Canis lupus familiaris: one gene and its partner. Each later gene encodes a partner of the first gene's protein in a complex. Links are inferred from orthologs where the notes say so. Each region holds a gene or a part of one and is shown in the gene's direction. Other genes may lie near its edges.

Region 1 (5,732 bases):
ATTAGGTAGTGTCATTATCCTCATTTTACAGATGGAGAAACTGAGACTTGGAGAGAGTATGTGATTTTTCACATCGTGTAATAAGTGATAATAAGATCACGTAATAAGTGTGATAGGGCTGGGATTCAAACCTAGGTGGTCTGAGGCCAGAGCCAGAGCTCTTACTCTCTACTCTGGACAAGTTACCTCCTGTTGCTATGCTTCAGTTTCCTCTCCTATAAAATGGGGGCATAGCCTTCCTTCTAGGGTCATTGTGTGGATTAATTCATTAAGCTAATTAATACATATACTTCAAACAGTGCCTGGCACATAGTAGGTGATTGATGGATGTTACCTGTTATACAATTTATTATCATGGCTCAAAACAGCCTCAGCTATATGAGAAACCAAAGGGCTCCTGTGTCTACAAGCTGATTTATGACATTTTTGAAGCAAATGTCATAAATTAAGCCAAAGGAATGAACCTCTAGTAGTATAATATTTGACCACTGATAAAAGAGACATGAGGTGGATGCACCTTGAGAGGATCCAATCAGAGCTTTCTAACTGCTGTGTTCATCAGGAAGAGTTGAGGTGCAGCCACTTGAAGGCTCAACATCTGACCCTGGCCACCAGGGGAAGCCCTTCGTGCAGATGAGTGGGCTTACAGATAGTGCAAACACGCTGAACCTTCTCCCTTTCTACACCAGGCAGGGGACCAGATTGTCGAAGTCAATGGCATCGACTTCTCCAACCTGGACCACAAGGAGGTGAGAGGTGGGGTGTTCAGCTACTGGTCGTTTTCATGTCTGCCCTCTACTTCTCGTGCCCCTCTCTCCCTGCCGCGGTCTGAGACCATCTGTGCTCTCTAGAGACCTTGACCGCCCTGATCTGTCAGGCTTCAGCCAACCGTCCGCTTGTCCCCCCAGGCCGTGAACGTGCTGAAGAGTAGCCGCAGCCTGACCATCTCCATTGTAGCTGGAGCTGTAAGTCCAGGATGACCCGATAGGGGGCCCTAAACTCTGACCTCCAGCCCCAGCCATTCAGACCCCTGATCTCTGCCACACACTCCCGGGAAAGGCCAGAGGGTCTCTATTCCTAAAGCTCTGAGAGAGCAGAGGGAGAGATCTCTGCCCAGCCAGGAGAAGCTTGCTCAGAGACGGCAGGAGCCACAGTGAAGACAACCTGCATCTTGGTCCCCAGGGCTGTGGCAGTGGGTACCCAGGTTCCTCCCCAGGAGACTGAGTAAGGGGCCTCTTTTCACTCCCTGAGGGCCGGGAGCTGTTCCTGACAGACCGGGAGCGGCTGGAGGAGGCACGGCAGCGTGAGCTGCAGCGGCAGGAGCTTCTCATGCAGAAGCGGCTGGCTATGGAGTCCAACAAGATCCTCCAGGAGCAGCAGGAGATGGAGCGACAGTAAGTGTGGCCAGCCGGGATGCTCCTCCCCGACCCTCCCTGCCCACTGAGTCCTGGGCCAGATTCATCCTGCCCCCCTGAGGCCTGTCTTCAGATCACATGGGTTCAGTGGTGGTCAGTGCAGCCATCCCTTGCTGCCAGACCACCAAGCTCTTCCCTGCAGCTGAGGAGAGCCCCTGACTTCCAAAACCCATGAGTATGGAAGATGAGGATGCTATTAGCACTAAGTAGCTAACATTTGTTGAGTATCAGTCATGTGGCTGGTCTTGTGTCAGGGCCTTGTTCACGTTTTACTTAATTCCTACAATAGCTCGGGAAGATAGATGATATTCACCCATTTTACAGGTGAGGAGACTGAGAGGTCTTAACGCAGAGAGGGTAAACCACTTGTGAACAAAGGCACACATGGCTGAGCTGGGATTCATACCTGTCTGTGGTAATAAGGCCCCTCTTCCTGGAGCTGATCGAGATCATGGACTGAAAGAATAAATGGTGTGAGCCATTCACACACACACACACACACACACACACACACACAGTCAACTCCAGATACATTCTAAGAGTGTAAAAGGAATTTGGGAAAGGAAGGTGAACAGGATCTTCACCTCTTTTCTCCATCACAGAATGAGCCTGGAGAACCAGCCCTGGTGGTACCTCTGCCCATTGCCCTGGCCTTGGCCAGCAGCCCTGACTACATGGGGCCTAGGGTCCTCTTCCTGGAGGACCTCACTCCAGCCAGGCCCTGCCTGTCATCAGTCACTTTATCTAAGTGTTTGGAGGTAGACACATAGAGTGGGGCCTGTGTTGATCTGCCTCCCATCCCTGGCATCACAGAATCTCCACTCAGCAGTGCCAGACAAAACCATACACGGGGCCCAGATTTTGTTGGACCTGTTTCTCCAGCATCCAAATCTGGTCCAGGCATCCTTGGATGGGAGCCTGGAAGAAAGATTTTAAACCTTTCTCAAATCAGGAATTGGCTCCAAGGAAGAGTTAACTTTTCTTGCATAGTCTCCAGCATGCCATCTTGGATGTTCTATGTCTCTTGCATAGACTCCAACATGCCATGAATTTGTGTTTCAGAAGGAAAAAGGAAATTGCCCAGAAGGCAGCAGAGGAGAATGAAAGATACCGGAAGGAGATGGAGCAGTGAGTGCCTGGGTCCCCATGCCTGCACACACGTGTCAGTGTGCAGACATGAGTGTGCTCTCGGGACTGTGGCCCGCCAGAGGCCACCTCCAGGCCCGGTTTGCCTGGCCCTCTTGTCCCCTGGTGGATCACCTTTATCTGTAGCCATTCCATAGTTCTAGTAAAGCCCATCGTGTTAGGGTAACTAGAAAGTGGTCTTGTAATTCCCAGGGTAACATTCACACTCGATGCAGATTACGACGATGAGTACCAGGGACTTTGTTTTCTTCAGCATAGCTAGAGCCACGTGACCTCTTCCCGGGCTGTTTAGGGTTTCCCAGGAGACAGAGGGCGGGCCTGTAAAAATCCTGACCCCAGTCACAGGCATGGGGATCTTATTTCAGGATTGTGGAAGAGGAGGAGAAGTTTAAGAAGCAGTGGGAAGAAGACTGGGGCTCAAAGGAACAGCTGCTCTCACCTAAAACCATCACCGCAGAGGTGCACCCAATACCCCTTCGCAAGCCTAAGTGTACGTATCATGTGCTGCAGGAGGGGGCTTCTTTCTGGGGCCTGGGGTTTGAGGAGTATGTAGAAAGAGATGCTGGTCTTCCTCCACTCACCACCACTTCCCCAGGTGAAGAGTCCGTGGCTCCTTGGGCTGCATCTTCTTCATAGAGGGGCAGCCATCTGCCGGGGCACTGGGATGGGTGGGATCTGTCTGCCCCCCTGTCCCTGGGGGCCTGCTGCCAGGCTCTCGCCCACAACATAGATTTAGGTAGGTGGACCTCTCCCCATGCCTTTGCGCTGCTGACCAGGGAATGGAGAGCTGTGGCAAAAGTGAGCTGCTCATGGGATCATCATCTCAGTTTGCTGGGTGTCATGTCCACATCCCACCTGATTCTGAGTCAGAGCGGGGTGCAACAGCAGCCAGAAAGAGGGGAAATGCTCATGTTGGAGAAAACTCTGGTGGTCCAAGGCTGATGCGTACTGTGGGGAGAGCTTACCTGAAGCGCCCCTGCCACCTGCATCCCTGTGTGTAGGCTATGGTCATATCCCTTCAGGGATGGAGTCAGGAAGAGGACTGAGACCCCTCTGAGACCCAAACTGTGGCCATCCTGGGGCCTCAGCTCCCTCTGCCCTTCACCCCTCCTTTCTTCATCTATCCTGGGTTCTTACCTCCAATTTCAGGCCAGGCCTCCACCACCTGTTCCCCTGTCCACCTGCTCTCAACCCCAACTGGCAGGATGTCTTTTCAAGGGGCAGCTCACACCACCAGAGCAAAGTGGGGGCTCAGTCTTCATGCTTCTCCAGTCGGCTGGTGGTAGGAAGCCAAGTAAGGTAGCTTGGGGGCCATAGTAATCAGGAGTCCAGGATTCCAGATTGAGCCTTACTCTCACTTTACATGACAAAGGGCCAGTTCTACTGCGGCTGATTGTGCTCAGCTGACCTGGGAACCTGTAGATATGGGGTGAATCTATATACTTAAGAACCAAGATTCCCCATCTCTCCTGTGTCACAGCCATTCGGCATCTTGTGATGGGGTCTGGACAACTCTGGCCCCAACTTTGGATCATACCTGAGCCCTAGAGGGACGTCATCTTGCCAACACAGTCCACTTGGGTCAATGAAGAGGTTGGACAGGGCATCTGGGTGGTCCCATTTCACCCTCCCTGGGGCGAGGCAGATACCTGCCAGCACATTCCTTCCTGGCAGCAGGGTATGGTGTCATCTCAGGGTCCTCTCAGAAGGACAAAGCGAGCTCTCATCAGCCTCCCCCCTGACATTTGGTATTAGTTGAGGATGTGGCCAGAGCTAAATTCCTGGTGAATAATCTGTGTTTTAGACAGGGAGCTAATTTGCTCTTATGAGTGAAAGAGGAGCTTCAAAAGGAGAGAAATCGATTTTAATTGCTTCTCATGAAAGTAATCCTAGCCAATTTAGTACCTTTCTAGAAGTTGGGTCTTGGCTTCAGAGCAAACACACCCTCTCAGGAACTATAAAAAATAAAAACCCTTTCTCTAGCTAGCTATTTATTTAGTGCTTTTAAACCAAATCAATCTTCTTGAATAAAGGAGCAAGAACTTTCCCTTTGCTTGAAGATATAAATGTTTTCTGAGGAATGTGCAAAGCATGGGATTAATGCCCCAAGCCTGTCTGCCTGAGCTGGGGCAGCTGCTGCTCCCATCCATCCCCCATATGCACTGGCAATTCCATCTTGTTGAGAAATAAGTCAGGAGATGCAAGAAGGCCTCCGAGCCAGCTCCATTCTTGCCTCTCTCCCCATTCCTGGGAGGCTGGAACAGTCCATGTTGTGCTGGGCCACCAGGGACCAGGCCACTGCTGGCTCCTCCCTGGCCACTCTTTAGCTCTGGGGCCCAGTTAGCCAATAGGTTATACCTGACTCAGGGCTTTGTGCCCGTGAGAGGCAGGGGCACACGTTTTTGAGCAGACAGGAAAGAGTGTGGAGCATCTCTTGGCCTGAAAAAGGAAATCCCTCATCCTAACGATGTGCATGGAACTGGCTGCTCCTCTCACCATCACTGTCCCAGGGGCAATGCCTGCCTCCCCATGGCCAACCCAGCAGAACCCCAACATTCTGCTGACCCAGGACAGATTGTCACAGAGGCCCCAGAAGAGCTCTCTTTACTCAAAGCAGTGAGGGAGAGGGATTAAGGATCCCAAAGTTGAAAGGAGCTTTGGGAGATGAAGAGGTTTAAATAAGATATTTCTAGGCTTTTCTCTCCATCAAGGACCCCGTCAATTAGCCTCTGCCCCCAACAGACCCCAGGGTTTAGAAGTTGAGACTTTTTTCCTATCAAACCATTCAGTAATCATTTGTCTTCCTATTGTTGTATTAAGGAGTCATTCTTGTTTGCAAGAAAGCATCAGTGTTCCACTGTTGAGTAAACACAAATTGAGCTGAAAGCAAAGGAACTTAACTTACAGCCTTTTCATAGGTGAATGGGGAAGTCCTTCTAATTAATATCTGAAATATGAATAAACAGCTCACAGCAGAGCCCTGCACTACCTTCCACAGTCCTAGGGAGGCCAAAGTCCGGGTTGGAAATCATTGGAATGGATGCTTTGCCATTCTCCACGTGATGTCAGAATTCACGTCTCCCCTCTACCCTTTGGAATCACCTCACCTCCTTGGGGTCTCCAACCTGCCCACATAGCTCCAACATCCCCCCGGGGACCCAGAGTTCCCAA
Region 2 (5,732 bases), on another chromosome or scaffold:
AGTAGCAAATAAAAAAGACCAATTACTAAGTTTTAGTTCTCTCTCTTTCTGCTCCCTTCACATGGGAAGCCACAATCACATGGCTTCTTCCCATTTTTAAAACCATATTTTATACTTCGTAATTTTATCTCATTTCACCTTTACTACTATAGGCTTAGAGGATGATATGATCATGAGCAATATCCTCCAATTTTATCCACAAAGAAATGGAGACTCAAACAGATGCAGTAAGTTGTAGATCATATGGACTTCAGGTCTTCTAGGTCCAAGTTCAATCCTCTTTGTCAACCTCATTTTGAGGGAATGGGTTAAGGAGGATCTTCAAGTTCGGCATTTGTTTCTGTTTTACTTCCCCTTCATAATCCATTCTTTCAAAGTTTTTCCAAGGAAATGCCAAAGAGTGCCAGGATTTTTACCATTAAAAAATAATAAAAAAATAAAAGCTCCATTTCACAGGAGAGTTTAAGTCCAAGTCATAAGTACTCCTGGAGTTGAGATCTCCATTTTCAACCCTTCTTCTCATCCATGGTTGCTCTGTTCTCTTTATTCTTTGCCTCCATCTTCCCTTTATCATTCTCCTTCTCCCCATCATTATCACAATATCATTATCCTCATCTTCATCTCATAACAGACTCCTTGTCTGATTGGCACTTAGAATTCTACTTCAAATAATTCATCTTTGAGAAGCCCTCTCTCAAGTTATATATAATTTTCTACTTTAGAGTCCATTAATGAATTCAATTATGTTTAAATTTAAGTGGCTCATGCAAAAAATAGCTAAGGAACATAACCTTGTTCTCAAAGTATCCATAATCATGTTTGAATATTTCACACGCTGGGCTAAAAAAATTATTTTTCCCCCTTTACAAATAAAAAATGTTGCCTCCAGGTTGCTTCTACAGTGTCTACTGGTGTTCTCATAGAAACCAGAAAAAGGAACAAACATTGACCCTGGAGCTAATTATTGTGAAAAACTTGCAGATGAAAGCCTTGTATTTTCTCAGAGTGGACAGATAATTTATCTTGGAATAAAGGTTTGGACAAAAAGAGATAAGAAGAATAAATAGATACAGACTTTGAAAATAGGTCTTCCTCACTTCAGTTACATGGACTGTTTTTTTAAAAAATTTATTTATTTATTCATGAGAGACACAGAGAGAGAGGCAGAGACATAGGCAGAAGGAGAAGCAGGTTCCCTGGACTGAGCCTGATGTGGGACTTGATTTCTGGATCCAGATCACACCCCCAGCCAAAGGCAGACACTCAACTGCTGAGCTACCCGGGCATCCCAGTTCCATGGACTATTGTCCAAACATATTAAATATTTTGTAACAATATGGGAAGTTTTTATGGTGGTTTAAGGAGAAGAAAAGACAATGCAAAATGGTATGTAGTTGATGGTAAAAACTATGTAAAAAATACCACAGGAGAATATATAAATAGTTCATCAGTTATATAGGGTGATAGATTCTAATTTTATTGTTGTATCTTCAGAGGACATGGTCTCCATGAAACCTGTCATCTTATATTTATTGAGGCCTGCACTGGTTCTATTAGATGGCAAATTTTTATAAATATTTTCTGTGTGCTTGAAAAGAACATGTATTTTTTATCCAGTAAGAGTTCTACATAGTATTCTTAAATCAAGCTTTTTAATTGTGTTCAGATCTTTTATATTTTTTCTAATCTTTAGTTTAATTGATATGTAACATTAAGAAAGTGTATTAAAATCTGCTATGATTGTGGATTTGTTCTTTCTCTTCCATTTCTATGAATTTTTGTTTTTTCTATTTGGGGGCTATGTTATTACATACACACAAGTTTAGGAATATCATATTTTATTGATGACTTGTTCCTTTCATCATTATGTATTATCCCTAGCAATTTTTGTCTTAAACTGTATTTTGTCTGATGTAAATATAGCTATACTATTTCTGTCGGTATTTTCTTTTTTTTTTTAATTTTTATTTATTTATGATAGTCACACACAGAGAGAGAGAGAGAGAGGCGCAGAGACACAGGCAGAGGGAGAAGCAGGCTCCATGCACCGGGAGCCCAATGTGGGATTCGATCCTGGGTCTCCAGGATCGCGCCCTGGGCCAAAGGCAGGCGCCAAACCGCTGCGCCACCCAGGGATCCCAGTCGGTATTTTCTTTTAAAAAAAAAAAGATTTTGGGGATGGAGTAACTACGTGATGGGCACTAAGGAAGGCACTTGATGGGATGAGCACTGGGTGTTATACTATATGATGGCAAATTGAATTTAAATAAAATATTTTAAAAAGAAACAGAGAGAGAGAGTAAACACATGCATGCGCATGTGGGGAGACAGAAGAGGAAGAAGGAGAGAGAAAATTTCAAGCAGACTCAACATCGGGGCAGAGCCCTATGTGGGGCTCAATCTCACCATCCTGAAATCATGACCCTGGCGGAAATCAAGAGTCAGATACTTAACTGACTGAGCCATCCAGGCTCAGTATTTTCTTGATAAAACTTCCATTTTTTGCTTTCAATCATTCTGTAATTTTATATTTTAGCTGTGACTATCGTAAATAAGATATGGCTGAGTCTACTAAGTGATGAATTTGGTCCATTTACATTTATTTTTATTATAGATAGATTTGGACCATGTTTTTGGTCTTATATTGTGCTCTTTATTTACACTAATTTTTCCATTGTTTCCTTCTTTCTTTAAGGTGGAACTTGTAGTTATTGATTTGAGAAATTTCTCCTTCTCTAATACAGGCATAAAAACTGCAAATTTCTTCTCCAAGCTCTATTTTAATTGCATCCTACAAATTTTGAGATGTTGCATTTTCATTTTCATTCAGTTCAAAATATATCAGATAAATTATTTTTGTTCAAAATATATAAAGAACCCTCATAACTCAATAAGACAATATCCCAATGAGAAAATGGGCAGAGAATTTACATATAAATGTAAGAATGGCTAATAAGCATATGAAAATGTGTTCAACATCATTAATCATTAGTAAATGCAAATTAAAACCATAATGATACCACTTCACATCCACTAAGGATAGCAATGAACAAAAAGACAACAGAGGCTGCAAGGATATGGAGAAATTCTCACCATCCACTGCTGTGGGAATGTAAAAGAGTATGGTCACTTTGGAAAACAGTTTAGCAATTTCTGAAAAAGTTAAATATAAATTGTCATATAACCCAGCCATTCCACTCTGTGATATAAACCCATGAGACATAAAAATATATATCTATAGACTTGTGTGTAAATGTTCATAGCAGCATTATTCATAAAACCATCTAAATGGAGAAACAATCTAAAAGTCCATCAGCTACTGGATGAATAATTAAAATTTGATGTATTGGTATAATAAATATTATTCAGCAATAAAAAGGAAGTACTGTTACTAAAAAAGGAATTGAACTTCAAAACTTATGTGAAGCTAAAAAAAACCCCTAGACACAAAGAATATATATTTTGTGATTCCATTTATATGAAATGCCCATATAAGGCAAATCTATAGAGACAGAAACCAGATTAGTAGTTTCCTATGGTTGGGAATGGGAATGGGAATAGGGATTGACTACATATGAGCATGAGGGATATTTTGAGAGTGGTAGATATGTTCTAAAATTGGATTATGGTGATACTTGCACTGCTCTGTAAATTTACCAACAATCATCAAATTATACACTTAAAATGGATGAATTTCATAGTATATAAATTATACTTCAATAAAATGTTTTTTAAAAATAGACCTCCTCAGTGGAGATTCTGAATTGTTTGGAAATTATTTTGTACACTCTGTGCCTAGATGACCAATATTGCATTCAAGACTTGCTAATGGACATAAAAAGATTAAATGTGCCTCACAACATTCAAGATGAACACAGAGGTCCTTAATATTCGATGTCATGGCCATGCCAGAAAGGAAAGGTCCAAGTTTAGTGCTGTGAACCTTTCTGGCTGCCTTCCATAGAGGAGGTTAGAATGAGCTTTGTCCTGGGGTGACGCTCTTCCTTGTCACTGATTAACCAGCTTTATAGGAAGGCTGCTCCACTGACAACCTGCTTTGCCTGGAGAGTGATATCTGGCCAGGCTCTGGTGAGCAGAAAAAATGTCCACTCGCTACCACCAAGCTGCTAGTGATAGCTACCTGGAACTCTTGAAAGAAGCTACCAGGAGAGATCTGAATCTTTCTGATGAGGATGGTATGACTCCCACACTCCTGGCAGCCTACCATGGGAATCTGGAAGCCCTAGAAATAATCTGCAGCCGAGGGTAAGTTCAATCTGATACTTTTGATTGGAGACCGTGTTTCCGGTAGGCTTTTTCAGACAACAGAGAGAGGGAAGCCAGTGAAAATACTTGGTTCTTTATAGACCGTCTAAATAATTGTCTTTTTAGAGAAAGGGAGAAAACTACCTAGAGATTTTCTTTTCACACTAAACTGCCAACCTGAGGATGGCTCATCCCTTATGAACCACACATAGAAAGATCCTGAACTCTAAGTCTTTGTTATCTGCTTTGGGTGGGTGGGGGGACTATTTTAATTCTGCACTTTTAAAAAATCTTTTCCATGAAATGTAAATGGTTGGCTGTTTAAAAAGGAATCACTGTTCTACTTGACTTTAAGATGTCAACCTTGATTGGAACAAATGATGCGTTTTTATTTTATTTTTTTAAATCTATGCCATTATAATCCCACAGCCTTTTATTAATATTCAGTCCTAATGCAAGCCCATGATTCTTAGATGAAGTAGTTGGCTTCAAGCTATAAAAGGGAATCTCGGTCTGTCTGAACTTTATTATCTCTTTAGCTATTAGATACATACAAATGCTCCTGTACTCCCCCCAAATTCTAATGCAGGAATTAGCTAGCTCTTTTCTTTTGCTTGTTACCAGAGTGGCTAGGCAGTGTTGGCAACCAAAATGCAACAGGAGTAAAGAATGGAAAAAAAGAAAATGCTAATAAAAGAACTAAGTGAATTAATTTCCATTTAATACATATTTATTTATATATATCTGCAATGTGCCAGCCATTTTACTGGCCACTGGAGATGCTGTGATCAACAAGAGAGACACCATTCCTCTCCTCATAGCGATCAGATTTAAGAGATGAAGACAGAAATTAAGTAAGTCATGTATAATATATGTTACAAAGGGGAAAAGAGAGAGCACTAAATAAATAACACAGGAATCTATCCCAATCCAGAGACTGATAATAGGCATTTTAGAACTTTGAAGTTGGGACCTGAAAGGTGAGAAGCAGCTGGCCAGAAGATGGAAGACAGAATGTTTCCCCCAAGTGAGAGCACTGTGCAGTCTAGGCATTGAAGTTGAGCATAGCTGGATGTGGCTGTAAGGGGAGAGGCTAAGTTATAAGAGACAAGGCCGGATCACAAGAGCATTGTAAACTCTGTTGGAGAGTTGAACTTTGTTCTAAAGGCATAGGAGCCATTGTCAGGTTTATCAGGTTTATATAGGATAGCCACCTGGTAGATGTGTGTTTACCAAACTTGCTCAGGTAGCTGTATAGCAGTCACAGAAAATGTTTAGAGGCTGTTTTAATGGTTGAGATGAAAGACAAATTGGACTATGGCAGTGGCAGTGGGAATGGGAAGACAGGGATGGATTTAATTGGTAGTTTGGATGCAGAATCAATTATAGTTGACTGGACATTGTGGTGGGTGGAGGAAGAGGAAGGTAAGGCCCCACATTCTGTTAAGTTGCCCTGGAGTACACAA

What was found. The genes of interacting proteins can lie anywhere in the genome.
Region 2: USH1C (region 1) and ANKS4B share a complex: the UniProt entries of both Homo sapiens proteins name them as parts of the IMAC/intermicrovillar adhesion complex. The link is inferred for Canis lupus familiaris from reciprocal best matches to the Homo sapiens genes USH1C and ANKS4B.

Annotation. Positions count from the first base shown.
Region 1 is NC_049242.1:40,742,785-40,748,516, reverse strand, and holds part of USH1C (harmonin), read left to right. Parts: intron 1-689; coding exon 690-749; intron 750-908; coding exon 909-965; intron 966-1,251; coding exon 1,252-1,394; intron 1,395-2,477; coding exon 2,478-2,543; intron 2,544-2,926; coding exon 2,927-3,051; intron 3,052-5,732. UniProt on the Homo sapiens protein: Anchoring/scaffolding protein that is a part of the functional network formed by USH1C, USH1G, CDH23 and MYO7A that mediates mechanotransduction in cochlear hair cells. Required for normal development and maintenance of cochlear hair cell bundles.
Region 2 is NC_049227.1:24,449,797-24,455,528, reverse strand, and holds part of ANKS4B (ankyrin repeat and SAM domain-containing protein 4B), read left to right. Parts: intron 1-4,023; 5' UTR 4,024-4,102; coding exon 4,103-4,266; intron 4,267-5,732. UniProt on the Homo sapiens protein: As part of the intermicrovillar adhesion complex/IMAC plays a role in epithelial brush border differentiation, controlling microvilli organization and length. Plays a role in assembly of the complex.